Linked DNA regions of Diceros bicornis minor. The protein of the gene in region 1 purifies or fractionates together with the protein of each later gene. This does not show direct contact. Links are inferred from orthologs where the notes say so. Each region holds a gene or a part of one and is shown in the gene's direction. Other genes may lie near its edges.

The links.
Region 2: the proteins of PFDN5 (region 1) and PFDN6 purify together in Homo sapiens (affinity purification with mass spectrometry; 5 studies listed by BioGRID and IntAct, with this or other methods). This does not show direct contact. The link is inferred for Diceros bicornis minor from reciprocal best matches to the Homo sapiens genes PFDN5 and PFDN6.
Region 3: the proteins of PFDN5 (region 1) and VBP1 purify together in Homo sapiens (affinity purification with mass spectrometry; 7 studies listed by BioGRID and IntAct, counting the BioPlex papers as one, with this or other methods). This does not show direct contact. The link is inferred for Diceros bicornis minor from reciprocal best matches to the Homo sapiens genes PFDN5 and VBP1.
Region 4: the proteins of PFDN5 (region 1) and PFDN1 purify together in Homo sapiens (affinity purification with mass spectrometry; 7 studies listed by BioGRID and IntAct, with this or other methods). This does not show direct contact. The link is inferred for Diceros bicornis minor from reciprocal best matches to the Homo sapiens genes PFDN5 and PFDN1.

Annotation. Positions count from the first base shown.
Region 1 is NC_080756.1:16,973,290-16,980,654, reverse strand, and holds the start of PFDN5 (prefoldin subunit 5), read left to right. Parts: upstream 1-4,364; 5' UTR 4,365-4,399; coding exon 4,400-4,471; intron 4,472-4,644; coding exon 4,645-4,747; intron 4,748-5,058; coding exon 5,059-5,090; intron 5,091-6,023; coding exon 6,024-6,098; intron 6,099-6,214; coding exon 6,215-6,320; intron 6,321-7,331; coding exon 7,332-7,365. Other genes in the region: ESPL1 (separin), read left to right, coding at 297-424, 560-682, 1,180-1,335, 1,444-1,614, 1,739-1,843, 2,036-2,151, 2,318-2,401, 2,569-2,733 and 1 more. UniProt on the Homo sapiens protein: Binds specifically to cytosolic chaperonin (c-CPN) and transfers target proteins to it. Binds to nascent polypeptide chain and promotes folding in an environment in which there are many competing pathways for nonnative proteins.
Region 2 is NC_080753.1:31,171,220-31,178,120, reverse strand, and holds PFDN6 (prefoldin subunit 6), read left to right. Parts: upstream 1-4,971; 5' UTR 4,972-5,183; coding exon 5,184-5,247; intron 5,248-5,479; coding exon 5,480-5,550; intron 5,551-5,631; coding exon 5,632-5,756; intron 5,757-6,007; coding exon 6,008-6,137; 3' UTR 6,138-6,396; downstream 6,397-6,901. Other genes in the region: WDR46 (WD repeat-containing protein 46), read right to left, coding at 2,101-2,200, 2,379-2,514, 2,647-2,797, 2,883-2,987, 3,254-3,315, 3,454-3,541, 3,666-3,778, 3,931-4,011 and 2 more. UniProt on the Homo sapiens protein: Binds specifically to cytosolic chaperonin (c-CPN) and transfers target proteins to it. Binds to nascent polypeptide chain and promotes folding in an environment in which there are many competing pathways for nonnative proteins.
Region 3 is NC_080781.1:138,789,858-138,797,184, reverse strand, and holds the start of VBP1 (prefoldin subunit 3), read left to right. Parts: upstream 1-4,322; 5' UTR 4,323-4,338; coding exon 4,339-4,431; intron 4,432-7,327. UniProt on the Homo sapiens protein: Binds specifically to cytosolic chaperonin (c-CPN) and transfers target proteins to it. Binds to nascent polypeptide chain and promotes folding in an environment in which there are many competing pathways for nonnative proteins.
Region 4 is NC_080740.1:58,601,492-58,609,435, reverse strand, and holds the start of PFDN1 (prefoldin subunit 1), read left to right. Parts: upstream 1-4,939; 5' UTR 4,940-4,984; coding exon 4,985-5,017; intron 5,018-7,944. UniProt on the Homo sapiens protein: Binds specifically to cytosolic chaperonin (c-CPN) and transfers target proteins to it. Binds to nascent polypeptide chain and promotes folding in an environment in which there are many competing pathways for nonnative proteins.

The DNA of each region.
Region 1 (7,365 bases):
GGATAAGTGCGGGGGTCCAGGGTCTTCCTACGCTCACATGATACAGGTTCACAGGGGATGTGAGTGCCTCACTCTGCAGGGCCCTTTGTTAGTTTCAGCGAGGGACACAAAGAAGTACAAGACATGGTCTCTTTCCATAGGGAGCTGTTAGGGCAAGGGAGAGCACCTTGCACTCCAGTGACCACAAAAGACTTCTTGGAGTTGTCTTGAGTGCAGGATAGGGATTGAATGCAAAAGACAGGGAAGGGAATTCCTTGTGACAGCTGAAATGATTCTGGCTATGTCCTGTGTGTCAGGGGTGACTGTGTGTGTGTTGGCCCTGGCCACCCTCCAGCCTGGAACTGTGGGCAACACCCTCCTGCTGACCCGGCTGGAAAAAGACAGTCCCCCAGTCACTGTGCAGATCCCCACTGCCCAGAGCGAGGTAGGTGTCCTGGGCTAGGGAGCAAAGTTGGGCTGGGGTGGGCTTCTGGTCAAGCCGCTCACATTCTGTGGCTGGGGGGTGGAGAGATGGTGCTCACATGGACAAGCAGATATCTCATAGCCCCGTCTCCCAAAGCTGCCTCTGAGTTTGGCCCTGAAAGAGTTTGATGCCATCCAGAAGGAACAGAAAGAGAACAGCAGCTGTACTGACAAGCGAGAATGGTGGACAGGGCGGCTCGGACTGGACCACAGGATGGAGGTGTGTGCCCCCAGGGGGGGTGGGGTCAGGCTGCCCTAGGAACGATCTGGAGTGCCAATGTCCTCTCTCACGGGTCCCAGCTCAGTGCCGAGCCACCTCTAGCCCTTTCTGGAAGTGTAGGCCTAAATAAAAAATTATGTCACTTGGGAAGGACTTGAGACAAGAGCCCAGAACTTGAAGGAGTTATGACAATGGAATGTTTAAAGATACACACAAGAAAAAGGATTTAAGCCCAAGTGTCAGCTTCACAGTTTTGCTGTCATTGCCCACCTGTTCGTATTTGTCAAAACATAGTGATAGGTAATAAATCATCTCATCTGTACTGCCCCCAAGTCGCAGCAGATGAAACATGTTTCTAGCTTCTTGCCTTCTATGACTGGCAGAAGGAAATGTAAGACAGAGACACACAGGAAAACCCATTTCCTCCTCTCGGTGTCGGTGCCTGTGGGAAAGAAACTCGGCTCCCTCTCTGCCTGAAAGTTCCGTTCTACATTCAGGTTCTCGTCACATCGCTGGAGAAGGTTGTGTTGGGCTGCTGGAGGGGGCTGTTGCTGCCATCCAGTGAGGACCCCGGCCCTGCCCAGGAGGCCTCCCGCCTACAGGAGTTGTTGCAGGGATGTGGCTGGAAATATCCTGACCCCACTCTGCTGAAAGTGAGTTGAGAATCAGGGAAGGGGCAGAAGCTAGACTTAACTCCTTCCCACCTGCCACTGTGAGCGGAGCTGGAGCTGTGGCATTCACTGACCGCTGTGCCCCTGCAGATCCTGCTCAGTGCTGCCAGTACTCTCACTGCTCAGGACGTGCAGGCCCTGGCCTGTGGGCTGTGCCCTGCCCAGCCAGAGCGAGCCCACGAGCTCCTGAGTGAGGCCATAGGGCGTCTACGGGGTCAGGCGGTACCAAGCAATAGGCACCTTGTCTTAGTGCTAGACAAGGTAAGGAGCTGGGGCCCGAGGGGCAGTGTCTGGTGGGCAGTGGGCACCTATTCACCCCCACGCCCCTTCTGACTCCTGCGTATACCTGGCTAGGGACAGTAACCTCTCAGTGCTTTCTGCCCAGGACCTGCAGAAGCTACCATGGGAGAGCATGCCCAGCCTCCGGGCACTGTCTGTCACTCGGCTGCCCTCCTTCCGATTCCTCCTCAGCTACTCCATCATCAAAGAGGTTGGGGGTTCAGGGAGTGGGGCATGGGGGTGATTGGTGATTGGGTGGGACTTGAAGAAAGAAAATGCAGAGAGACCTGGGAAGAAAGGAAAAGGTCTTAGGAATGGATCAGTCATGGCAGGGGCTTAGAGTTTGTGGGGCTGCAGCCCTCTGGCCAGACCAGGATCCTGATAACCACTGTCTCTTCCTCAGGCTGGGGCCTCATCGGTGCTGAGCCAAGGGGTGGATCCGCGCAGTACCTTCTACGTCCTGAACCCTCACAATAACTTGTCAAACACAGAGGAGCAATTTCGAGCCCATTTTAGCAGGTCGGGGGGATAAGAGTAAGAAAGGGGGTGGAGAAGGGTGGCGACAACATGCAGGCACCATGTCCTTTTCTCCAGAATGAACTGTTGCAGCCCACCCTCTCCCTAGCGTTCCTTCTGCCCTCTTTGCTCTGTGGCCCCTCTTCTTACTCCTGCTTTTTCCCTGCAGTGAAGCAGGCTGGAAAGGGGTGGTCGGGGAGGTGCCGAGTCCGGAACAGGTGCAGGCAGCCCTGACAGAGCATGACTTATATATGTGAGTGCTTAGGGCAGGGAGGTAGGGAGAGGGGCTGTCCCAGAGGAGGGTATCATCATGGTTTGCTTTGGGGCTTTAGAGCCCCTGGCTGAGTCAGGAGGCCTCTGGAGACATAGCAGAGGCCTGATACTGCTCATTCAGGCTCCTCTCACCTCCTTCTGCCTCAGCTATGCAGGGCATGGGGCTGGTGCCCGCTTCCTGGATGGACAGACTGTCCTGCGGCTGAGCTGCCGAGCAGTGGCCCTCCTGTTTGGCTGCAGCAGTGCAGCCCTGGCTGTGCATGGAAACCTGGAGGGGGCTGGCATTGTGCTCAAGTATATCATGGCTGGCTGGTGAGTCTCGAGAGGCAAAGCCCATCCTAGGTCCCCACCCCAGGTTCCTTCCCAGGTCTGAACCCTAAATCCTTCTTCTCTTGTACCCCACCTTCCTCCCATCCTAGTCCCCTGGCATGCCTGGGACTTTAATCCTTTACCCTCTTCTCTCCTCTTAGAACTATGGGCCCAGGGACTTCCTCATTGGCTCAATTCTCTCTACCCACCCATCACCAGCCAATCATGTTTTCCTGTGTATTCTGTTTTAGAGCCTTTACTCTGTATTTCTTCCTTCTTTTTTCCCAGCCCCCTGTTCCTGGGTAACCTCTGGGATGTGACTGACCGTGACATTGACCGCTACACGGAGGCTCTGCTGCAGGGCTGGCTTGGAGCAGGCCCAGGAGCCCCCCTTCTCTACTATGTCAACCAGGCCCGCCAGGCTCCCCGACTCAAGTATATTATTGGGGCTGCACCTGTAGCCTATGGCTTGCCCGTCTTCCTGCAGTGATCCCTTGGAACTGTCCTATCGCTGATAGAAGCCATGTGACTGTTCTACCTCCAAACTTAGATTTAACCCTTAGGGTAAATTTTAAGTGATTTTCCCCAGTGTTTTATATGAAACATTTAACATTAATGTAATAAAGACACATTATTTAAATCTTGTTTTGTGTAATTCATTTGAAGACAAGACTATTGCCCCCCACCGACCATGTGGTACTATAAACAGATGAGAACAGCTCACAGGAGTTCAAGTCTGAGAGCCTTGGGGAGAAAGGCAAAACCACAGGACAAAGCTGGGCCTGGCTTGGCCTCAGCAGACAAAGCTGAAGGAGAGAGGGGCATCAAAATGCCTTAAGTGGGGACAGAGGCCCAAGGAAGGGTAGAGAGAGACCCACTGGGAGCGTCCTGAGCAGGCACCATCATTTCTGTCCTGTCTTCCTGCCCTCGGGTGTCCTGGCAGTGACATTAGCTTTAATGCCTCAGTTGCCCCCCCCAACTCCCAAAGTTGGACGTTAGAGGCCGTTCTCTCCCCACACACAGCTGTTACACTGGTCGGTGCCGTGCACTTCAGCAGCGGATTTTGTGGGGCTCCGCTGTTTATGCATGGTTTCTGTCTCCCCAAAGAGATTGTTAAGCTCCTCAGAAGCACAGACCTCTCCCCTATCCCTCCATCTAGCACACGGTAAGACATTGCATTGATTAATAAACCTTGTGCCGTACTCGTCCGTTGATAACGTGGCTCTTGATCATGCTCTCCACCCCTAGACTCCTCAGCTTCATGCCGACAGCACCACTTTCACGACGCTACTCCCCCTGACCCCGCACTTCCCAGGCGTCTTCCTTGACTCTCAGTCACCGGGTTTATACCATCCACGTGGAGTAGCATACATTGCTTTGCAAAATTGCGGTTATGGCCTGAGTACTTTTAAGATTTTTAAGTTCCTTGAGGGCAGGAGTCCTGTTTGCCACAATTTTACTACGCTAGGCTTGGGATGTCTTATGCAGAGAACGCACAACTACCTTCTCTCATCAAAGGCGAGTCTGAGAAGCTCAGCCCCTCCCGGGACGGGGATCATAGAGATGTCTGGCGCAGCGAGGCCTCCCGCGCAGCCATCGAGGCGCGCAGGGGAAGGCTAGAGCGCTGCTCGCAGAGCCGCCTTCCGCTTCGCTAGTTCTCCTCCCCAACATGGCGCAGTCGGTTAACATCACGGAGCTGAACCTGCCGCAGCTAGAAATGCTCAAGAACCAGCTGGATCAGGTGGGGACGGGCCCCAGAGACAGCCCTTTCCCCCCTCGCATCCCTCCTGCCCACGCGTACTCCCTCGCCCCCCTTCCTCCCCACTTTGGGAAGCTTCTCTTCCCAGGTGAAACCCCCATCAGGTCCCAGGACCCGCAGGTTCCCACTCTGACCCTCTTTCCCGTCCTCTGTAGGAAGTGGAGTTCTTGTCCACGTCCATTGCTCAGCTCAAGGTGGTACAGACCAAGTATGTGGAAGCCAAGGACTGTCTGAACGTCCTGAACAGGAGCAACGAGGGTATGGGGTAGGCGTGTGAAGGCAACCGGGGGGTGTGGCGAGCCGGCTTCCTCTCTCGTCCCGCCTCCTAATCCAGTTGCCCTTACCCGAGACGAGAAAGCAATCCGTTACATATTGTCTGCCGCTACACGAGCCCTTTGCATGGTGCCTGCCTAGCATTGAAATGTACAGGACATTCCTCTGCTCCTGTTCCCCGTTTCCCTTCTTTTCATACTATCTCTGGGCGCTGTGTCATGTTGGAGTTCCCTTTTAACATCTTAACGTCGGAGGTGCCCACCTTCCCCAGATGTTTGTCTTAATTGCTTTTACAGGGAAAGAATTACTCGTCCCACTGACGAGTTCTGTATCCTTTCCACACGAACTGCTACCCTGCCCTCTCCTTTTCTCCTTCCCCCCTCCCCAAAAGGGGTGGGAGGTAGTTTTGATTATTCCAGAGTGCCCCCATGGTTCTGAGAACACTCTTATTATACACACTTCGTAGCTCTCCTGTCTAACCTGGGGCCAACATCCAGTCAATGCCTTGTGAGCAGGAAATATGTAGAATTGAGGTGTGATTATTTCCTTTTGCTGTTTGAGGATATAATCTAATATGGAGATAAAACTGGTGGTTTACACTTTTACTAATAACTTAGAAGACATAAGCAATAGAATAAGAGGATATAGAAACAAAGGGATTGGCTCTGTTTATTAATCCTCAATTTCAGCTTAATTGTGGCTCTTATTCCTAACCTTTTGTTACTAAGAAACCTGGGTTGTGTCTACCTGTTGAGTGTTTTACTTGAGTAAGTTATGACAATAGGGCACCTGGAGACTAGTCTGAGAACTGACAGGCTAAAAGAGAAACACAGGAATAGCAGTGTAGTAGGGATTGGCTAGATAATGAGCACTAAATCCATCAGGAATTAAGTAGTTCATAGTTGGGAGTGCTGAGGGGAAGTGAGGCTGGCTTTTCACTTTTCACACTCTACAGCAGTGAGAATATATTATGTCTTGTCTTTCTGGAGGGGCTAATGGGAAGAATTGTAAGAACTGCTTGGAGGTGGGAGATGGGATCAGGGTAAAAGTGTTCCAGCCTATGTCATTTTCTCCACAAGGAACCAGCTTCTCTGTCTCTCCCCATTTGGAGTTTATAGGTATAGTTCTAGGGCCTCCAGATGATTCAGTCCCTGTGCCTCGGAGATTTTTAGAGAAGGAGGGTCTTAGAAAGCCAAGCAGGCTAGTGACAGGGAATCATGACTCCTGCTGGGCTAGTTTTCCCTTAATCCTTGCTTCTCAGATGTATGTCCCTGGGAAGCTGCATGATGTGGAACACGTCCTCATCGATGTGGGAACTGGCTACTATGTAGAGAAGGTGAGTGGGAGGAAGCATGTGCATACTCCTGTGAGCGGGGAAAGGGAGTTTAGGGGAAGACTAGAGTGCAGCATTGGAGTCTCCTCTTAGCTCCTCATTCACCTCTGACCTTGCAGACAGCTGAGGATGCCAAGGACTTCTTCAAGAGGAAGGTAGACTTCCTCACCAAGCAAATGGAGAAAATCCAGCCAGCTTTGCAGGAGAAGCATGCCATGAAACAGGGTAAGGTTGGCCTGGGGGCACTGCTTGACCCTTTCTATATCTATGATAGAGAACATGGATTGCAGGTGAACCAGAGGGGTGTCCCCTTTACTGGACTAAAACCATGTCTTTTTCTTTGGTGTTTTGATGTGTTTATTCTCTAGATTCTGTGCATTACATACCTGCTATTTGTAGATTCCTGGGGGTGGGGCGGCGTGGAGACAGTGCTTGAGAAATTGAGAGGAAGAAAATCATGTCTGTGCCCTTGTGGAGCTCCTATTAATTAGGATGGAATGGGGGAGAAGATACATGTAAGTGAACACAGGAAAGAAATAGAGCCATGGGCCGGCCCCGTGGCTTAGCGGTTAAGTGCGCGCGCTCCGCTGCTGGCGGCCCGGGTTGGGATCCTGGGCGTGCACCGACGCACCGCTTCTCTGGCCATGCTGAGGCGACATCCCACATACAGCAACTAGAAGGATGTGCAGCTATGACATACAACTATCTACTGGGGCTTTGGGGGGAAAAAAATAAATTAAAATTAAAAAAAGAAAAAAAGCCTTAACTAAGTACCAGCAATTGCAACCCTGGCTGCTGCACATTAGAATCATCCAAGGAGGTTTGAAAAGAAAGCCTGGGCTCATCCAAACCAACTAAATCACCCGGGGGGTAGGGAGGGGGATTCCAGGGGTCAGTGTTTTTTAAAAAGCTCCCCAGGTGATTCTGTTACACAGTCAGGATTGGGAACCACTGTTCTAAAGGCAAAAATCTTTTCCACATTATAATTTCCTGGTTATGTCTGACTCATTGAATACTGTATTTTGTTCATTTTCCTATCCCAGTGGTTATATTGACTGACACAGTGTAGACTCTAAATTTGTGTTAGTGTGTGTCCCCCACAGTGGATCACTGTTAAAAGTTTTATTAACAAACTGTAGCAGGTTGTCTGCCTGTCCTTAAACGTCCCTGTCACTTTTCCTGACCTCTAGGTTCTCTCCTTTAGCTCCTGACCAGGCTCTGACTTCTTTTTCACAGCGGTCATGGAGATGATGAGCCAGAAGATTCAGCA
Region 2 (6,901 bases), on another chromosome or scaffold:
TAAAAATAAAGTTATGTAGTTTATACCTAATGTAGAAGATGCCTGGGCAGCAGTGTAAAAGGAAAGCAGCTTGTGGGAAAGATTATTCTGACAACACACCCGGGGCACGCCAGGAGGAGGAAGAACTGGAGGCTGGAAACCGGCTGTGAGCATCACGCATGTCCGCAGAAACGGCAAGGATGGAGAGAACAGACTTGGAGGACCCTCGAGGGGAAAAGCAGTCAGGACGTCACGGGGGGTAGTGAGTGGTCATGAAGTGATACCACCAAAGCAAGTAGCAGAGCCTGGGCACCCAGAATGCACTCAGTGAATGGTGCTTTGGATTCCTGCTATTACTGATGGCTGAAGAACACGGGCTGTGAGGCTAGAGGTGGCAAAGAAGTCATATTGTGGGTGACAGGAAAATGTGGCAGAAAGGGGGCAGGCAAGGAGGAACTTTGGGAGAGAGGTGACCTATCCCTTGATGGACGCATGCAGTCTGGGGTGACAGAAGACAACTGAGTAGAACCTAAGTGCGTGACCTGGATAATCATTCCTGTACCACAGCCACCTGTTTTTGTAAATAAAGTGTATGGAACAACACACTGGGACAGGCTTAATGGCCGATTCATCCTTATACCCCCAGAACCTCAGTGTAGAGCCCAGCCCACACCAGGTGCCTGGTGAATGCCTGACAGATGAAAGGAATTAGAGGAAAACACACGGGAACTTGTACGGGAAACAGTCTGCCAGATCCAGAGACACATACAGATCAGAAGAGCTGTGGAAATGCCAAAGCTCTCTCAGAAAGAGCAGAGATTCAAAGTGGACCCACCACCCCCACCCCTCACAGCACCAGCCAGACCTAAAGAGCACGATCATCTTCGCTGAGGATGAGGATGAAACATGGTGCACTCCGTTCACCCCGCACCACGCTAAACTCTACGTGCCTTACCTCACTGTAACGCCTACAACAGCTCTATGAGCTAAGCCCAGGGCTGGGCAAACCACAGCCCATGAGCCAAATAAAGCCTTGCACCACCTATCTCTGAACAGCCTACAAGAGCTAACATCCATGCCAATCCTTCTCTTTTTGCTGAGGAAGACTGGCCCTGAGCTAACATCCGTGCCCATCTTCCTCCACTTTACATGGGACCCCCGCCAAAGCATGGCCTGACAAGCGGTGCATCGGTGCGCGCCCGGGATCCGAACCCGCGCTGCCAGCAGCGGAGCGCATGCACTTAGCTGCTACGCCGTGGGGCCAGCCCCCCTGGTTTTTACATTTTTAAGTGGTTGGAAAAAAATCAAAAGAAGGATATTTTGAGATGTGAAAATTAAACAAAACTCAAATTTCAGTGTCCACAAATAAAGTTTTATTGGAACACAACCACATTTGTTCATTTACTTGTTCTGTGGCTGCTTCTCCGTTACACTAGCACAGTAGAGAGGTCAAGACAGACACTGTGTGTGGCATCTTATCGCTTCCCACTGCTGCCCAGCGCATGACAAGTCTCAGTGACATGGTTATAACTGACAGCACTTTGAGCACCTCACAGACCACCTGTCTCATCATCTATCTGTGTGAAAAGATGTTTCCAAAGATGAAATATAGAAAATCTCTTTACAGATGAGCATTAACAGACAAACATTTGCAATTTAGTTTGGTGATTTGGAACACTAACCATGAACCTCAATTAAGCAAAATGTTATCTTCAAAAAGAGGAATCGAATTCTTCCCATTTGTAGACCTATATTACAAAGATTTTGTATTAAATCATTATATTTTGAATTTCATTGCTTAAAAATTTGTGCTTTGTTGTCTCTGTTGTTATTTAAGTACCTACATAATACCCTCGATTTTGCCTCTTGACCAGCAAAGCCTAAAATATTTACTACCTGACTCTACAGGAAAAATGTGCTGAGCTAGACACTCATGTCCTCACTCCCAGGGTGAGGAGAGTGTGGCACAGAGAGGTTGTGTAACGTGCCCACACTTACACGGCTGGTCAGTGGTAACAGCAGGATTTAAACCCAGGCAGCTGGCTGCAGAGTCTGTGCTCCTAAAGACACATTGACTCTATGCCTTTCTTCCCAGCTGTGACCCCCAAACAAGTGACTTACGTGCCTGTAGAATCTACTGCCACAGCCCGGACCCCACCACGGTGACAGAGAATCTTCGCCAGTGGCTCCTTCACAGCTGGACTCCATAAGGACACAGTACCTGGACATCAGAGGAGAAGAGCTGAAGTTACTAACAGGGCGCTGAGGTGATTAAACCTGAGAAAATGGGGACTCAACGCCAAGAGGTAACAAGAGCGGGAGGTAAGTACTCATGAAGTACAGTATAGAAAAAAGCAAGTCAGCATGGTCAGGGAGTCAAAGCCCAGCCAGGGACGCACCATTGCTGTGTCCAAGATGGATGACGGCATTGGAAGGGTTCTGAGTCATGACGTCGAGCCGTCCAGCCCGAGCATTCAGAGCTGCCACGATCTTTCCCACTGACACGTCCAGGTAGGTCAGAAACCCTGTCTCTGACTATGAGAGAGAGAGAAAGAGAGGAAGAGAATGAGTCGTGATTGCCCTCTGTCCTCCCTCCACTGTGGTCCCAGGGGAAGGGCAGTCTTCTCCAGGGCTGCCACCAGGTCCCTGTGCTCCACAGCCACTCACAGCTGTGGCCAGGAGGAAGTGGAAGGGCAGGAACTCAAGCCGCGTGACTCGGTCACAGCGGCGGATGCAGTGGAGCTCGATGCCCTGGTTGTCGTAGATGTGAAGCCAGCAGTTCTGAGCAACAGCAAGCAGTGCCTCCGAATGCAGAAACCTGGGAGGACGGGAGAAGTGGTTCAGTGGGAAAAGGCGTCACGGGCTGTCACTCAATCAGGGATGGGCTGTCTCACCCCACTGACCGGATGTCCCGCACGGCCTCCATGACGTTGATCTCACACATGAGCTTCTTTGTCACCCAGTCAAGTGCGGCCACATGACCCCGGCGCCCTCCAAAAGCCAGGTGTCTGTTGGAGGTGGGGTATAGGCACGGTGTCAATGCAGGGGAGCACCCTGACTCAGACCTTTTGAGGTCTGCCCCACGCCAGCTCCTCCTCTCCAGGTGAGAGAAGAGATGTTGCTACACATGCTCTCTCTCACATGCAAGCAAATCACAGGACCCTCCCCACTCAACACCCCAGACATACGCTGGTGTGGCTGAGGTGGGCTTGGCTGACGTGATAAAGAGACACCGCTATGTCCTAGTTCCAGAGTCACTGGAATTCAACCTTACCTCCCAGTTCGAGAGTAATTCAGCCTGTAGGGTCCAAACTGTCTCAAGTTCAAGTCAAAATGCTGGGAAAGGGAAGAGCAAAAAGAAAAAGGATCATGAAGAGCTGGCTCCCTTCAGTAATTCCCTCTTCTAGTCCCCATGTCCATCTTGCTCTGCTCCACCAATCAACTCACTGGCCCCTTTTCCATCCTCAGGCTCACCTTGGCTGCACTTGCAATGTCCACAGCCTCCACGATGTCGGCCTGGCGTATCTTTGCCGTGTCCTCCCCATCCTCCCCTTCCAGAAACCTGCAAGTGAGTGGTAAGGTTGCAGCAAAGCTTCCTAATATGAAGTGGGTGTACCAACATAAAAAGGAGAAAGAAGAGTGCCATAAAGCGGGGGCTGGGGAGGCCCACATTAGGGTCCACTTACCCAGGTTCCTCAGCAAGCAGCAGCTCAGAACGAGCAGCTTTGACACTTATCTCCTCTTCCTCAGCTTCAGCCACCTCAACTCGGCTTCGGGTTTTGGACTTAGAATGTGGCAGCTATAACATCGTTGGTGGTAGAGAAGCGCGAGAAGAACCAGCAAATATGTGGAGTCACAAGACAGCCACCTGGTCCCGCCTCCACTCATCTCACCCAGTCACTCCCTGCTTGCAACCCCCCCCCGCCCCCCTCCCCCCCGGCTGGTCCTCACCTTTTTGGATTTGTCAATGCGACAGAACTTCTGAGCCACCTCCACAGGCACGGGGGCGGGGCCTGGAAATGGATCCTGCGCCTGGGGCAGGGAGGAGGCAATTAACAGACAGGCTCGAGGCTCGGGTTAATCCCAACCCTCGCAACCTCAAAGCCCAAGGCGACTTGCCCCGCCACCCGATCCGGTCCCAGGCTCACCCCGGACAAGCTCCGCTGAGGCTCCGGATTTCTCCGTTCTCGGGATTTCTTCGGGACCTGGGGCTTCTTGGAGATCCGAGACTTCTTTGTGATGTAATTATTCTTTAGCCTCTGGGGGCGGAGCTCTCGATTTCTCTTCTTGTTCTGAGGGGGGCCTGGAGAGGCTGCGGCAGCTGTCGGAGTGGTCTCTTCCTCCCAGTATCGCCGCGGTTTCTACCGGCAGATCAGGATCCCTGATACTCCGCTGCCCGCGCCCCGCCCCTCCGACCCCGCAGTTAAAAATTTCCCTTCCACCCCAGGGAGGTCTCTACCTTCTTCTTGGCCTGAAGTTTGTCCTTCTTGGGCGGGACACCCCTTCCTGGCTTGGGGGCCGTCTCCATCTAGCCCACCTGAACCACGATCCACGTGCAAACTTCTCTCAGCTGTCCAACAGTCCGCTTGAAAACTCCCGGAAGTCCTCTGGCCGTCATCCAATCAGCACGCACCGGGTCTGAAGCCTTCCAGGCGCCATCTTGAGTGAGGGCGCGCTCCCCAGGGAGGTGCGGGGCAGCCTCGCCCTCGCCCACCTGAGCGGCAGGTTTTGCCCAAGTAATGAAAGAAAGGCAAATCCGGGGCCAGGGCACAAGGAACGAGGCAGTTTCTTTTTCCAGCTTCGTTTCCCCATCTTGCCTAAAACCTTCCGAGTCCAGTCTTTTTAGCAGAACACCATTCATTAAACATGTCAAAACTACAGTTCCCGGCATACGTCAGAGGACAGCTTCCGGCGCCGTCTTTTCCCAGCATTCTTTGTTTGCTTCCGGGTTTATTAGTACTGAAGGGAGAACGTGAGTAGGGTAGGGTGTCGGTTGAGGGGTCTGGGGTCTCGTTTCGCCCGGCACCTCGTGGGGCCGGGGTAGAGTCGATATCCGGGACGGAGAGAGGCTGCGGTGCCCCGAGAGGCTGCCTCTGAAGAGCGCTGTCATTTCCGCAGGCCCGGCCAGAAAGGGAGCTCGGGCACGTTCCAGAGTGTGAGACCCAGTGCCCCTCGCCCGCTCGCCGCAGGCTTCCGTCCCCGCCATGGCAGAGCTGATCCAGAAGAAGCTACAGGGAGAAGTGGAGAAATACCAACAGCTACAGAAGGGTAAGGGGGCAGGGTCGGTGCAGCCTCGCCCCAATCCCCTCACTCGCTCAGAACCCAAAGCCATCCCAAGATGTTTTCTGCCCCACCCAGGCCCCCGCGTGCAGCCCCTTCTCCACCCACTGACCCGCCGTCCCCATCCTTGTCCACTTCCTCAGCTCCATTTTCTGATTGGGAGGGATCAGGGGACACATTTGTTGATGTCTCTAATCAAGTCCTTCTTCCCACCCCCCAGACTTGAGTAAATCCATGTCAGGGCGGCAGAAACTTGAGGCACAACTAACAGAAAATAATATCGTGAAGGAGGTGAGAGACTGGGATTTGTGGGGCGAGGAGGGACCTGTAGTGGCAGTGATTGTGATCATATATATCCCATTCTTCCATCAGGAACTGGCCCTGCTGGATGGGTCCAACGTGGTCTTTAAACTTCTGGGTCCTGTGCTGGTCAAACAGGAGCTGGGGGAGGCTCGGGCCACAGTGGGGAAGAGGCTGGACTACATCACAGCTGAAATGTGAGTCTTTGTTCCACTGCCCTGTGATGCATCTGACACTGTTGGAGTAGGGGTGTTGAGGAGCCATTGTAGAGTAGCTCTTCAGGGTAGCCCCCACTTGTCCAGTTCCTCTAACCCCTTCCCTTTTAATGCTGCTTGTCCTTCCCCTAGATCTCAAGTTTTCCACCAATCTCTTTCTTGTCTGCAGCACACTCAATAGTAAGTCTCCCTCATTTCTCATTTGCTTTTTTGTCTCTCTTGCCTCTCCTCAGTAAGCGATATGAATCCCAGCTCCGGGACCTCGAGCGGCAGTCAGAGCAACAGAGGGAGACCCTTGCCCAGCTGCAGCAGGAGTTCCAGCGGGCCCAGGCAGCAAAGGCAGGGGCTCCTGGGAAGGCCTGACCCTGTGGTGGGGGGGCGGGGAGGGGAGGGAATGAGGCAGCTCTAGGATCTATACTGTAGCTAATAAAATGTGAAAACTTCTAGCTGTTTCCTGACCAGACACTTCTGTGGTAATTCTCCATCCATTCCCCCCGCCCCTTCCACCTTATATATATGTCACCTACATTACTCCCACAGGTCCAGATTCTTGCAACTGGAATCTGTCTGTGGTAGAGTAATCGTTTTTTCTTTCTTGAGACTAAAATCTCTCTTAAACTTACTACTTGCCTGTGTATACAACCCTTAACTCCCTCTTATCTTTGTTGGCACACGTCTTTAGGAAACATGGGAAGGGCATTTGTAATGCAGGAATTGTTGGGAAAGGCAGTTTAATTGAAGAACTCACAATTCTCTAACCTGAAACCCCAGGCTGAAATGTGGTGACCCTCCTTGCTATGGTTACTTGTTATCCTCCAAATAGTCCTGGTGTCTCTCTTAGTTCTTTTTAGCCTCTCTCTTCCTAGAATTTGTTTGAATGTAGCTTAAACTGATTTAAAATCCCAACATGTAATGCTTTGTGATGTCCTCTAAGTTTGTCCATTGTCCACAAAGTTGTTCTTCCATTTCTTTGTCCAAAAATCGTTTCTTACAAACTTGCAGCCAGGGGAGGTCTTCATACTGATCACTTTAATTGGGTGGCTAGTACTTGACATGGGTCTGTGACAAATGAGGAGAAAAATTTAAGAGCAAATAAAGGGACCGGGTTAGAGAGGTTGCTGGGGAGA
Region 3 (7,327 bases), on another chromosome or scaffold:
ACCTCCAGCCTCCCTCTGCCCCCAGTCCTCTAGCCTGGCCTCTCTCTCCAATCCACCTGCCTCCCTCTCCCGAGTTCTCTGACCAGGCCCAGTTTCCTCCCTATTCCAGCCACGTTCCCCTCCCTGAGCAGGTTCCTGAGTGTGTTCAGAGTGGAGAGTGTGCCCTTCCTCCAGTTTTCCTAACTTGCCCCCTTTCCTCTATCCTGTACTGCTCCGTGTCCCACATTTCCATTCCTGCTCATTGTCCTCTGGCCTTGCCCCCTCTTTTAATTATGTCATTCTTCTTCCCTTCTCTGCTCTTTAATCCTTTTCCCTGGCGCTTGCTCCATGCTCATCCTGCTCTGCTCTACCCTCTGTCCACTGTCCTTTCCCTGCCCCCATCCCCATCCCCCTCCCTCAGCTCTCAGATAGGCCTGCTTTCTTCCTACTGCTTTCCCCACAGAGTAGTTTTATTTTGAAATTTATTAGTTTTTGTGAGGTTGAACACATTTTCACATGTTTACAAGAAATTCTTACGTCTTTTTGTTTGTTAATTGTCTTTTGCCCATTTTTCAGTATGACATTTAGTCTATTTCTTTGGTACAATTTCGCTAATATTTTTTCCCAGCTTCTTAACAGTTTGAATTTGTTCTGGTGTCATTTTTGTAAGAGTTATGTTGTTGTTTTTTATAAATAGGCAAATGTATCAGCCTTTTCTTTTATTGTCCCTGGATAAGTCATAGAATGTCTTTCCTTACACCACAATTAAAGGGGGAATTACCCCATATTTTCTTCTCGTACTTATATGATTTACTTTTTTTACATTTATTTTCCTAATCCATTTGGAATTTATTCTTGTATATAGTTTGTGATATTAATCTAATTTTATTTTTTCCCTGTGAGGGATCATAATTGGCCACCTCAAAAGGTGTCTCATTGGCTTGATTATTTTTAAGAAGAAGATTCTGAAAGAAACTTTGACCTTCCCCCTAACTGCCTAAAAGAATTTAAGATAGAAGGCCTGTTCCAGGAAGGAGCTAATACCATAAGATAACATTGTCTATAGCTGGCCCAGCAAACACTTCTTTACCAAACATTTGCTTTTCCATCTCCATGTGAATTGCCTTCCTCCCCTTTGAAGCCCCAAGCCACTACCCCCAACATCCTCCTTTGTCTTTAGCTGAAAATGGTATTTAAGGGCGGCTTTGGCCATTCTGGTGAGTTACTCAGCTTTCCTGAGTTTCTCCCATGTATACATGTTATAAAGCTCTGATTTTCTCCTGTTATTCTGTCTCATGTCAATTTAATTCTTAGGCCAGCCAGAAAGACCTAGAGGATAGAGGAATTGTCTTCCTCCCCTACATCGCAAATGGCTACCCAGCTGTTACAACACTGTTTATTAAAAAGTACATCTTTGCCTCAGTGATTTGAGATGCCACCCTTGTCATTTACTAAATTTCCCTGTGTACTTGTCTGTTTCTGGACATTCTTTATTCCACAAGTCTGTCTTTCTTCATGCAAAAATGAACACTGGACTTGGAACTGAATTATTTGGGTTTTTTCTGCTCTACCCCAAGACTTTCTGTGAGATTTTAGGCACATTCTTTTCTCTTTCTAGGACTCAGTTTCATCATCTGTAACATGAGAGGCTCCAACTAGATTATTTCTATTTCTATGACTGTCTGTACTAATTAGTACTAATCTAGATTGCCTTATACTATTAGGAGCTAGAGAGTTCCTGCTGCAGCCTGCCTTCCTGGAACTTGAGGCATGGAGTTCTGGCTTCCCAAGCCTGACCCCTTCTTTGACTCAGTGTTGGGGTGACTTTGGGTTCTTGGTTCTCTAGTCCAGGATCTTTTTGCATGTAGCTTCATTTCTTTGGCCTTGAGAGGCTTTTCTTTGACCCTGAAGGGGAGGAAGACTATCCTTTACCCACTCTGGGTCCTTTCTGGCTGAGGTATGAATTAAATTGACATGAGACAGAATAACAGGAGAAAATCAAACAAAGCTTTATAATATGCATACACGAGAGAAAGCCAGGAAAGACTGGGTAACTCGACAAAATGGCTGAGGTTCTCCTCTTAAATACCCTCTTCAGCTAAAGATAAAAGAGGATGTTGGGGGAGTCAGTTATGGGAGATTACCAGAAAAGCACAGTAAACAAGAGTAATGTTATTATGCAGATTTAAGGCCTTGCCTTCCCCATTGATAAGTTTCTACAGATGAAGTCATCCCCCTTTCTTCCCAGTACAGAGAGGGAGATACCTTTACAAATGGAGATTTCCCTTACAAACATAAATGTTTGGTAAACAGAACTTTGATAAGAATGGGCTTAGCAAGGACCGTCCCAGTCTATCCATACCCAGAGTTATCTATAGGGATGGCCTGTCCTGGGGATAGGCCTTCTATCTTAAATCCTTTAAGGCAGTTGGGGGCGGGGTTCAAAGTTTCTTTCAGAGTCTTCTGAGCCTTGATTGTCTTCAGTTTGAAATAATCCACATACCAGAGTGGCACATCTTGGGGCAGCCTGCCCTGAACCCCATCAACCTCTTTCTGATTCTGCTGGCACCCTACCATGACAAGGTCACTTTATATATGTGCTCATAATGACCAGACAGGAAGGATGTTGGGATTGTCAACAAAAATAATCCATAACCAATCTATAAATCAAAATTGGGGTGAGTTTATTATGAGCCAGATCTGAGGACCATATAGCCCCAGAGAGTCCTTCCACAAAGGAATGGGTCACTCCAAATGCATCACATATGATTGGAATGTCCCTTTTACAACGGTCACGAGATTGCTTTGCTGGCACTGCAATTCGATGAACACAGCAGGTCAGTGGTCTGGAGGTGGGTGGTCATAGCAGGTCAGCAATCAATCCCTAGTTTAGGGAAAGATGCTTGTCCTTAAGGAAATGCTGATGTGGAGGAAGTTATATCCTTATCTTTAAGGGCATTGTTGTTGTCTTTGGGACATAGTAAATACTTAAAGCAGATATACAATGCATGCTCAACGGCTGTGTCAGGCCCTTTTGGAAAAAAACAAGTTCAGGCTGAATTAGTTTTATACCAAATGGCTTCCTCATATACTCCAATATCCTATTGCTTGTTATTTCTTTATCAGGATGTTGGGTGAAACAAGATAATCCAAATAAAATTCTTTGGTTGCCCTATTGTGTGGCAATCTTTACAACAGCCTTGTTGGTACACATTGTTATTCTCATTTTAAAATATGACTTAGGTAGTGTCTTCACCTGTGCTCCCTTCCTACCCGATGTGACTATTATAACATTTATCCTATTATCTTACAAATGGTTCATTTTTAAGGCCCTTTACTTGTATGTAAACTAGGAATGATAGCAGTCCCTCTCACACTGAGCTGTGGGGATTAAATAACATGACTCAGTGACTGGTACATAGTTGGTTTCTAATAAATGTTAATCACTGTGTGTGTCCCCACTAGGTAAGGGAACTGACATTTATCCTTTATTCATAAAGGGCTTGGCTCATGGTAGGCTTTGTGTGTGCGGATGAAGCACAGCTTCACTAGGAATCACTGCAGAGCAAGCAAAGGCAAGAATAAACATGGTGGTTAGATGTCAGAAAAGACACCAAAGAATAATTACTTGGGTATGTATAATGCACTTGCTCTCAAAGAGTTGTAGTGATGGGCAATGCTGGGGAAGTCCTTAGGACTAGAAGCCTCAGAAGAGTCCTTAGGATTTTATGTAGACTTAAGTTTTGAAAATGTTTGAGCTGGAGTGGCGAGATTCTGATCAAAGGATGCTTTCAAGAAAGGCTGGTGCAATGGGCGGGGTATTTATTAGAATCAGGCCAGTGACTCCAGAAACAGCCACAAAACAAGCCCCCTTCAAGGGCCAGGAAGCTCGTTGGGATGTTGGGACCAGAAAGGCACTGAAGCCAAAGCCCCATGGTGCCGTCTAGTTCCCAGGTTCGCTTGTATTCGAGAGGTGATCGAGTCACTTCAAAGGCCATTCTGGAGGGTGCTGCCTGTTTTGGGGTGGGAGTGGGGTCCGACTTGGTCCCCAATTCCCAGGGTCTCCACCCCTGCCTACCCACAACATCCCCGAGACCGTTTTTCGCAGGAGTCTGTATTGGTCCTTCCCCCGGAACCAGCTTCTCCTCCGCGGCTCTTCCACGCCTGTCACTCACCTGCGCGCAGCCAGTCAGCACCCACAGGCTGAGTCCGAGGGAGAAGGGGCGGCTACTTCCTGCGCGCCAATGAACGCGCAGACTCACAAGGGAGGGGAGGGCTTGCTGGTGTGAGCGAGCCAATCACGGACCCCCGGCGGCTGGCGGCTGGCGGAGCAGTTAGTCGCACGCTTGTTTCTCCAAGATGGCGGCCGCTAAGGACAGTTGTGGCTTAGGTGAAGTGCCCGCAGGGAACGGGCGGCGGCTCCACCTAGGGATTCCGGAGGCCGTGTTTGTGGTAAGAGCACGCTGGTCCTGGGCATCTTGATGCTAGGCCGTGGGCTACCCCTTCCTTGCCGGTCCCCACCCTGGCCTCGACTGTTGGGGAAAGGAGTTGAGCTAAAGGACCTGGGAAGAGAGTGCCCCGTCCGCTCTCCCTCCACGCCTGGACGGACTGAGCTGTGCTGGGTTCTGCCCGGGGGTGAACCGTGGTCCGAGAAGGCCCGAGAAGGGAAGGGGGCGCGGGGCGAGAGGACGCGGGAGCCGGGCCGGGGGCGGGGGCGGTCCCTGAGACCGACCCGCCCTCCCGCTCCCGGACGCAGGGTTTCGTCCCCTGCTGCCTGGAAAAAGGGAAGCGGTGAGAAGCTCGAGACTCAGCTTAAGTGCTGGAGAGACTGACAGATAAACGGTGACTTAGGATACCATGAGTAGGCAGAATAACTGCTGGTAAGGTGTGAAAACAGGAAATGACACCTAGTCTGTTGAAGGAATGCGGTGGTCTGTTGCCTTAGAGGAATGGAATAAGAGACTGATGGAAAAGTGGGATAGGGTGAAAATGTGAAGTCCTTGTGTGTTCTGCTGAGGAATTGAGGGTTTATCCAGTAGGCAACGGGATGTCGTTAGAAGGTGTCTAAATAAAGCCGTGATATAATCATATTTGGTTTTAGGTACATCATTCTAACAACTTAGTAGAGAATGAATCGTGTCGAGTTGAGACAAGAGGCAGGGAATGCAGTTTGGAGGCTTCACAGAACAGGGAGACCAACCCAAGTCCAAAGAGAAGCAAGTAGATGCTTTCAACCCTGTCTTTCCATCAGGCTAATCTAGAAATAGTATTTGAAAACTGTTTGAATAATGACAGAAAACCTGACTGGCCTTCCAAGCCGGTATCATCTGTCTTTCCCCACTCAGTTCTGGCTGAGTTACTATAAAATCTTAATGGAATTTTCTCGACCTTTTGGTTTGTACTTTTGTTGTGTTATCTCTACCTTTTTGTTAATGGTGTCTTACATCCTTCAAAAGACCCATTTGTTTTATTGATTCTTTTATTTATACCACTTTTATATACACTCTATATTGTATATTTGCATTTGCCGATTCAGTTTTGTAGTTATTTTCTTTAGTTATTTTGCGTTTTCTCCCTGAGCTGTGCCATTTATTTCTTTACGTTCATCTCCCAACTAAGTGTAACGAGAGAGAAAATTTGTTGAGTGCCAGGCACTTTCCTAATGCTTTTACAAAACTCCAGGAGGTAGATACTGTTGTCATTCCCGTTTTGTAGATGATGAAACTGAGGCACAGAACCCTTGAGTAACTTGCCCCGAGTCACACAGGGTGTAAGTGAGTTATCCAGGATTTGAACTTGGGCAACCTATGGGGCTCTGGAGCCTGTACTTACACATCGTGCTCTGCTACTGGGAGGAAAGTGAGGTAGTTACCTTGCTCAGTGTCATTTCTCCTGGTCCTCGCACAGTGCTGACACATAGTATAAGCTTGTAACTGGATGTCAAATTGAATTTCCATAGTGGCTTAAATACTACATTCATGGTGCTTAGCTGGAGATGGCTTCAAAAATCTAATTCAGGAGGATAAACTTTATGAGGGCTTTATAAAGTCTTATCTTAAAATGTTAATGGGTTATTTTTTCTAGACCTTAAAATTTCTACCAATATGATATAATAAGCAATCCAAATTTTACATAATTATTTTTATGTTCCCAAACTAATGGGAATAGTATGGTATTGTAGAAAGAACATTGGCATCTAAATAGACCAGGGTTTGAATTCTGCCTCTACTTCCCAATTGCTGCTTAATCTTGAGCATATTATTTTACCACTTTGAGCCTCCGTTTCTTTAACTGAAAGAGGAATAACAATACTTACAGAGTTGCCATGAGAAATGGAGAATGTGCTTTCAGTATTGCAAGTAGATGCTTAATATATATTAGTTTCTGTGATGATAGGAGGCGGTATACCATACTGGTTAGAAGTCAGACCTCACGCTTTCCCCTTCCCCCATTCCCAGTGGTGCAGTAATTTGCTTTTTTTCCCCCTTGTCCATTTACTGACCTCTTCATGTTTAGAACTTCATATCTAGTTCAGATATGACTTCCCTGTAGTTTTTCCTGACCACTGCTGCAAGACGGAATTCTTGGTACTTTCATCTGTTCCCTTAGCACATTGTGTTATAGAGATAGCTAATGTTTGTTGAGCATTTCCTAGCTGTCATGCACTCTTCTAAGCATTTTACACATGCTAACTCATTTAATCCCCTGTGAGGAAAGGTACTTTTTTTTGATTTTACAGATGAGGAAATTGAGGAAAAGAGAGATTAAATCACTTACCCAAGGTCAACACCTCTAGTATGTGGTGAAGCCAGAATTCAAACCAAGCAGCCCCTGTCTCTTAACCACAGTCCTATGCTGCTATAATTACTTCTCCATGTTAGACTCTAAGCTCCTAATAACAGGTACCATGTGCTAGAAACTTTGACTTATTTCTCTTTCCTGCAGTGGCCCTTCTAGGAAGATGGTATCTCCATTTTACATGCAGAGCTCAGCCCTTGCCTCAGCCTCACCTTTTCAGTTTCTTTTACTGTGTCTCTAGCTTGATGGCTTCATAGTTCACTCCCTTGCTGTGTTTCTCTTCCTTTTTCTCCTTGCTTTGCTTAAGCTAAAATATTCCCTCATAGCTAGTAAGTGTGGAGAAGAATAATGACCTAGAGATCCCATAAACCATAAGATAATTGAATTTAACTTACTTACAATGAAGGACTAAAGTTCTTTACAGTACTAGAAGGCTCTTATAGAATCTCCTTAAAGTTTCCATGTATTTTCATCTAGTTCTTGATCCTCATCTAATTAACTAGCTTTTCTTCAAGGACCAACATATAGTATACATTTTAAAAATGCTATT
Region 4 (7,944 bases), on another chromosome or scaffold:
ATTGTAAATGGAATTGTTTTCTTAATTTCCTTTTCGAATTGTTCATTGTTAGTATACAGAAATGCAACTGATTTTTGTATGTTGACTTTGTATCCTGATACTTTACTGAATACATTTATTAGTTCTAAAATTTTTTTTGTGAAATCTTTAAGGTTTTCTACATATATGATCATATCATCTGCGGGGCCAGCCTGGCGGTGCAGTGGTTAAGTTTGTGCATTTTGCTTCGGTGGCCTGGGGTTCATCAGTTCAGATCCTGGGTGCAGACCTACTCACCGCTCATCAAGCCGTGTTGAGGCGGTGTCCCACATAGACGACCTAGAAGGACCTACAACTAGGATATACAACTGGGGGCTTTGGGGAGAAAAAAGAAAAGAAAATCATATCATCTGCAAACAGAAATAATTTTACTTCTTCTTTTCCAATTTGGATGCCTTTTATTTCTTTTCTAGCCCAATTGTTCTGGCTAGAACTTCTAGTACTATATGGAGTAGAAGTGAGAAAAGTGGGCATCTTTGCCTTTTTCCTGATCTTAGTGAAAAACTTTCAGTCTTTCACCATTGAGTATAATGTTCACTATGGGTTTTTCATATATGGCTTTTATTATGTTAAAGTAGTTTCTTTCTATTCCTAGTTTGTTGAGTGTTTTTATCATGAAAGGGTCAAATAGAATTTCAGGAATTAAAGACAATAATTATTGAAATAAAAACCCAAGGTGTGGTTTAAACAGGAAATTAGACATAGTTGAAGAAAGAATTAGTAAATTGGTGGAAAGAATTGAATAAATTACACAAGATTCAGGAAATAGATAGTAAGTGTAAAATAGAGGCTAAGAAATATGGATGCTTCACATTTCTAATGGGAGTTCTAGTAGGAGTCATGAGAGAAAATGGCAGAGAGTCAACATTCTGTGAGATACTGGTTGAATATTTTTCAGAATTAACATGAATTCTCAGATTAAAGAAGCATATTATGTCTCAAGCAGGAAAAATAAAGAAAACACACACACACACACACACACACACACACACACACCAAAGTGGAAAGGTAGAACGCAAAACACAGTGAATGTCTTAAAACACACCGGAGAAAAGACAGATGATTTCTAACAAAATCACGAAAAGCAGCCTGACAGGACTTTTTATCAGTATATAAAAGCCAGAAGACTATGGAAAAATGTCTTTAATAATTGTCAGTCTATAATTCTATGCACAGCTAATCTGTCATTTAAAATTAAGAGTGAAATTAAGACAATTTTATGTATACAAAGTGTATTAGTTTCATAGGGCTGCCATAACAGAGTACCACAAACTGGGTGGCTTAGAACAACAGAAATTTATTTCTCACAGTTTTGGAAGCTAGAAGACCAAAATAAAGGTGTTGACAGTGCTATCTCTGAAACCTATAGGGGAAGGATCCTTTTCTTGCCTCTTCCAGCTTCTGATAGCCTGAAGCATAACTACAATCTTCACATGGCATTCTCCTATGTCTCTTCAAATAGTCCTTCTTCTGTGCATATCTATGTCTGTGTCTAAATTTCCCCTTTTTATAAGGACACAAGTCATATTGTGCTATGGTCTGAATGTGTTGAAATCCTTACCCACAAAGATGATGGCATTAGGAGGTAGGGCCTTTGGGAGATGCTTAAGTCATGAGAACAAAGCCCTCACAACTGGGATTAGTGTTCTTATAAAAGAGACCCCACAGAGATCCCTTGCCCTTTCCACCAAGGGAGGACACAGTGAGAGGTCAGCAGTCTGCAACCGAGAATATGGCCCTCACCCAAGCATGCTGGCACCCTGATCCTAGACTCCAGTCTTCAGAACTGTGAGAAATAAATGTTTGTTGTTTATAAACCACCCAGTCTGTGGTACAGATCTTCCTCGATTTATGATGGGGTTACGTCCTGATAAACCCATCAAAAATTAAAAATATTGTAAGTTGAAAATGCGTTGGGGCTGGCCCGGTGGCTTAGTGGTTAAGTGCGCGCGCTCTGCTACTGGCGGCCCGGGGTTCAGATCCCGGGCGCACACCGACACACCGCTTCTCTGGCCATGCTGAGGCCGCGTCCCACATACAGCAACTAGAAGGATGGGCAACTATGACATACAACTATCTACTGGGGCTTTGGGGAAAAAAAAAAGGAGGAGGGTTGGCAATAGATGTTAGCTCAGAGCCGGTCTTCCTCAGCAAAAAGAGGAGGATTAACATGGATGTTAGCTCAGGGCTGATCTTCCTCACACACACATACACACACACAAAAGAAAATCATTGAACACACTTTATCTATCAAGCATCATAGCTTACCCTAGCCTACCTTTATTATTATTACTTTTTTGATGAGGAAGATCAGCTCTGCGCTAACATCCATGCCAATCCTCCTCTTTTTGCTGAGGAAGACTGGCCCTGGGCTAACATCTGTGCCCATCTTCCTCCACTTTATATGGGACACCACCACAGCATGGCCTGACAAGCGGTGCATTGGTGCATGCCCGGATCTGAACCCGGGCCGCCAGCAGCAGAGTGCATGCACTTAACTGCTATGCCACAGGGCTGGCCCCTATCCTAGCCTACATTAAACATGTTCAGAACACTTACATTAACTTACACTTGGACAAAATCATGTAACACAAGGCATTGAATATCTCATGTATTTTACTGACTACTGTACAGAAAGTGAAAAACAGAATGGTTATAAGTGTATCAGTGGTTTACCTTCATGATCGCGTGGCTGACTGGGAGCTGCGGCTCACTGCCACTGCCCAGGATCATCAGAGAGTATTGTACTGCATATCGCTAACCCAGAAAAGATCAAAATTCAAAATTCGAAGTATAAGTTGTCAGAAGTTGAGGACCGTCTGTATTTTGTTATAGCAGTCTGAAGAACTAAGACATGTTGGATTAGGGCCCACCCTAATGACTTCATTTTAACTTGATTACCTCTTGTAACGACTCGATTTCCAGATACATGACATTTAGAGGTACCCGGGTAGGATATACATCTTTTTTTGTGGGGACACAACTCAACTGACAACACGAAGACTAAGAGAGTTTACTTCTCAAAGACTCTTTCTGAAAGAATCTACTGAAGGATTTACTTCATCAAGAAGGAAATTAAACTCAGGAGGAAGGAGTGGTATGCAAAAAGGAACAATGATCAAAAAAACTGAGAGAAGATTCTTGCCTAAGGTCACATTGCTCTTAAATAGTGCGGTCAGTACTTGAACCCAAGTTGTCTGACACCTTAGCCCAGGCTCTTAACTTTTACATTGCACATATCTCTATGAGGAATGTTTCAAAATCTCATAAGGTAATGTATAGGAAAGTATCTGAGACCTGCTTTGAATTTTAATATTCAGTCATTATTTATTGATCATCTCTAATGAAGTTCTAAGACAATCCCAGAGTAGAATTAGGCCCTTTTTTTATTTCCCAAATTAGAGAGTGATGACAAATTTTCTTCTGAAGAAGAATTCATTCTCAACAAGTGTTTATTTTGTATCCCTTCCCTGTGATGCACTGTGATAAGTGTTCTGGGTATAAGTGGTGGGGGAACCACTATCCCACAGATCTTGATTTTAAGGAGCTTACAGTCTAATAAAATTTTTTTTTAAAGGTAGAAAGTGTCATGTGCTTTGAGAGAGGAACAGATGTAGTCTTGAGGAGAGTTCAGAGGAGGGATTATTTTTGGTCTCCTCCATTGGGCTGCACCTTGAAAGACAAACATGACAATGCTAACTACGTCAGCTTAACTACAACTATTTATTGAGTACCTACTGTGTGCATGGTGCTATGCTTGGAGCTTTTCATCTTGATCTTATTTAATCCTCACAATAACTTTGTTAGGTCAGTATTGTTACTCTCAAATTAAATAAGGAGATATACTGTATTGCCACACAATTAGCCAATGGAACCAGACAGACCTAGGCTCAAGGTAGACCAAATCTTAAATTCAGATCTTGCTGGTTCCAAATTCCCTGCCCTTTCTCTTTCCTCACAAGTTTTTAGAGTAGGTAAAACATCCATTTCTTTCATTTCCAAAGTCCAATACTATCCATCCTTCTGGTTCAAATGCCGGGTCTTTTACAGAAGATTCTCAAAATGGGGTCTGCAGACAACTTGCATCAGGTCATAAAGGGAGTTTGCAAAACTACAAAATTTCCAGGCCCCAATCTGAAAGATTCTAAATTAAGTTTGGGATAAAGACCAGAGAATCTGTATTTTTTTCCACAAACTTATTTGGCCTCTTTTCAGAACCACGTGTCTAGAAAGTCTTCCAGGAGCGTTCAGTACAAATAAGTTCTTTGGAAGAACACTTCAGGGGCCCGCCTGGTGGTATAGTGGTTAAGTTCATGCACTTTGCTTCAGTGGTACAGGGTTCGCAGGTTCGGAACCCAGGTGCGGACCTATGCACTGCTCATCAAGCCACGCTATGGCGGCATCCCATATACAACATAGAGGAAGATGGGCAACAGATGTTAGCTCAGGGCCAATCTCCCTCACCAAAAAAAAAAAAAAAAAAAACACACGCACAAAAAACACTTCAACGAAGCCTTCTGGTCTTCATATTGGCATGCTTGAGGCTCAGGCTGATTCTTCCTCTTCCTGACAACACAGGAACTAGCTTGAAGGACCGAATGACTGAAGAGGTTTTGGCCGGATCCACATACATCCCAATTTAGCAGCACAAACTAAGCTATTTGTCAAAATGCTTAAAACCATACGCGAAATCTGCGCATTGTGCTCTGTCTGGAAGGATGTGGCGAAGCAAGCCAGGTCTGATCGCTCACGTGGGGAAAACAGACTCTGAATCGGAATCCCCAAGTTTCAAGGGATGCTAGCCCCAGAGCCAGGAGGAAACTCAATTAGCCCAACTCATGCGCAGGCGCAGAAGGAAAGAGGACTATCAAACCGCCAAGGCGCGCCCTTCCCGCTTCCTCTTTCTGGCCTTCTCCCACCGCGCAGGCGCAGAGAGTGAACCAAGATGGCTGCCCCCGTGGATCTGGAGTTGAAGAAGGTAAAGGAGGGTATTGAGCAGGCAGTGGCTTCTCTTTGGAAGCTAAGGGGAGTGTGAACAAGAATATCGAGTGAGGCTCGAGTCCTGCGGAAGGAAAGAGGCCTCAGGGAATTGGGGAATGATTTCCCAGAGTCCTAAGGCGGGACCGGGTCTCCTTAGGCTGGAGTGGTGGGCGAGCGTCTCTAGCTGGATAAGAGCCGGTTGGGCTTGGTCTGGTTAAGTCAGGCGGGCCGTTGGCTGGCCTGTCCCCTCGTTCCGAGCTCCAGAGCCGTTTCGTTGCGCTCAGAGCCATCAGTTGCATCGTAAGGCCTGAAGTGAGCGTTTCAAATTGGAGCCCTTTCGGACGAGCCGAGGCATCTGTAATTCTGCATCCCCATCTGCTTTGAAAAACTCCCTGTTCCAACCTTGTGTTTTTTAGTCCACTTATTTGATTCCATCTTGAAAGGTCGTAGTATATACATACATTTCCGCGTCAGATATTCTCATAGCAATGTTCATCTGAGGGCTTTGTCTTCCACCCCCTTCCCCCTTTTTTTGAAGAACTTGTAAACTACAGAAACAAGTCCAGTAAAGTTTTCCAAATAAAATCGATGTCTGAAGGAATTGGGTTTCTCTCTTCAAACAATTGCTTATTAACGTGTTGTTACTTAAAAACGTTTTTGCCATCTGCGAGTTGTCAGGATTTTAACACCACTGCCAACCCAAAACGATATCCTTTTTTGGGGACGCTGGGACACAGGGATTGGAAAGGATGCTAGACTTCATCTACTTTAAACCTATACTTTTCTAGAAGAGGAAACTGAGTACCAGAAAAAATTCAGGCACAGGCTGAGAGTAGAATCCAGCATTCTCTGCTTTACTTCACACCTTTGACCATTAGTTTAGGTTTTTCAGAAAAGCAGATTTTACTAAAGACTGCCTTCTGGTCAACCTTTGCATAGCTCTTGCTCCTAATAAATGAAGCCGTTTGTACGTATGTGTGTGTGTCTTGCTTTTTGTCATTCCTGTTTGGAAACTTGTAAATTTAGCCCTTACCTGGTGGTCTCTAATGCAGTAGTATCTCAGCTTTAACAATATACTAGCTTCCTTAGCAAACTATGTACAGAACAATCAGGTAATACCTATAATTTTACATGCAAAACAAAATTCATTTTAAGAATGCTTGAAGCATTCTAAAAGTTTAACTTTTTTTTTTCTGTTAAAAATTCAAATTTAAGTCAGGGTTTAGTGAAAGAGCTAATAGAGTACAGCTGTGAATGGACTTGCCTCCCAGTATTATTTGGATTTGATGCTAAGAAACCTGTGGACAAAATGCATACTAAGAAAATGATTACAGACTTAAATTGGATAGTTTTGACAACCAATTAAATTAACCATAAGAGAAACTTGTGGGGCTGGCCCAGTGACATAGTGGTTAAGTTTAGGCACTCTCTGCTTCAGTGGACCACGGCCCCCGGTTCATGGGTTTGTATCCCTGGCAAACCTACACACCACTCATCAGGCCATGCTGTGGTGGCGTCCCACATACGAAATAGAGGAAGATTGGCACAGATATTAGCTCAGGGACAATCTTCCTCACCAAAAAAAAAAAAAAAAAAAGGAAACTTGTTGTTTAAAGGTTTTATCTTCTAATATCTTTATAAGGTCTCTTTTTGGAGGGGGTGGAGACTAATAGGAAATTTCAGGTACCTCCTCTCTCCTCAAATAAATCTTTTTAAACTTTACTATTAGGTGAGACCAAAGTCAGAATAAAACATAAGTAGTAGACTTTGCCATGTATTGCAGTCACTAATGTTATTAGTAAGGCATAAATTTGACAGCAGGTGAAAGTTATTCCAGGCACTTCAACAAAAATATCCAAGATCTGTGTTTATCTTTGAGTTAAGTGTACACAAGGGTCAAATTTGGCTTGGTATGTGCATGTGAAGATCATGATAAAGTCTACCAATGCTTTGAAATTTTTTTCTCTTTTTTTTTCTTTCTCTTAAAAATATTCATATTCTGAATATTACTGTAGACAGTAGAATAGAAAGATTTCTGAACTAGGGGTCAGAAGAAATGAATTTAAGTACTGTAGCTGCCTTTCCACCTAATAGTTATTAAGCCTGTGCAAGCCATTTATACCTCTTTAACACATTTAGTTACTTAATTTGTAAACTATGATGATGAAACTGCCATCCCTGACTCGTAACATCATTGAGAAGAGTAAATGAGATTTTTTTATTATATCCCTCAGTGCTCTCATATTAATATTCCAATGTTAATATTTCAAACAAATGTGGGAAAGTGCTATGAAACCTAGTTGTATAATGCAAATGTAGCAAGTTGTTACACTTATGATTCTTGTTTTCAGTCTCTGGGTTTCATCCTCTGACTGTTGCATTTATTGCTTTTATTATTCCTTGGGTACCTGCTACTTGATATGGTTATTATTTAATGTGCATTTGTTCTGCTTCTTCAAATAGATTGCTTCTTCTGAGGACAGGGTAAATTCAGTATTTAGCATAGTGGCTTGATCCTTTACAATTATATTGACTTTTGTTGGTGTTTGCTTTGGTAAATTTCACAGCTTTGTCTCTAGTTAGCATGCTTTATTTTTTTATTTATTTATGTTTTTGTGAGGAAGATCAGCCTTGAGCTAACATCCATGCCAATCCTCCTCTTTTTGCTGAGGAAGACTGGCTCTGAGCTAACATCTATTGCCAATCTTCCTCCTTTGTTCCCCCAAAGCCCCAGTAGATAGTTGTATGTCATAGTTGCACATCCTTCTAGTTGCTGTATGTGGGACGCCGCCTCAGCATGGCCAGACAAGCGGTGCGTTGGTGCGCAACCGGGATCCAAACCCTGGCTGCCAGTAGCGGAGCGCGCGCACTTAACCGCTAAGCCACGGGGCCCTCCCCTGCATGCTTTATTTTAATATATTTGAA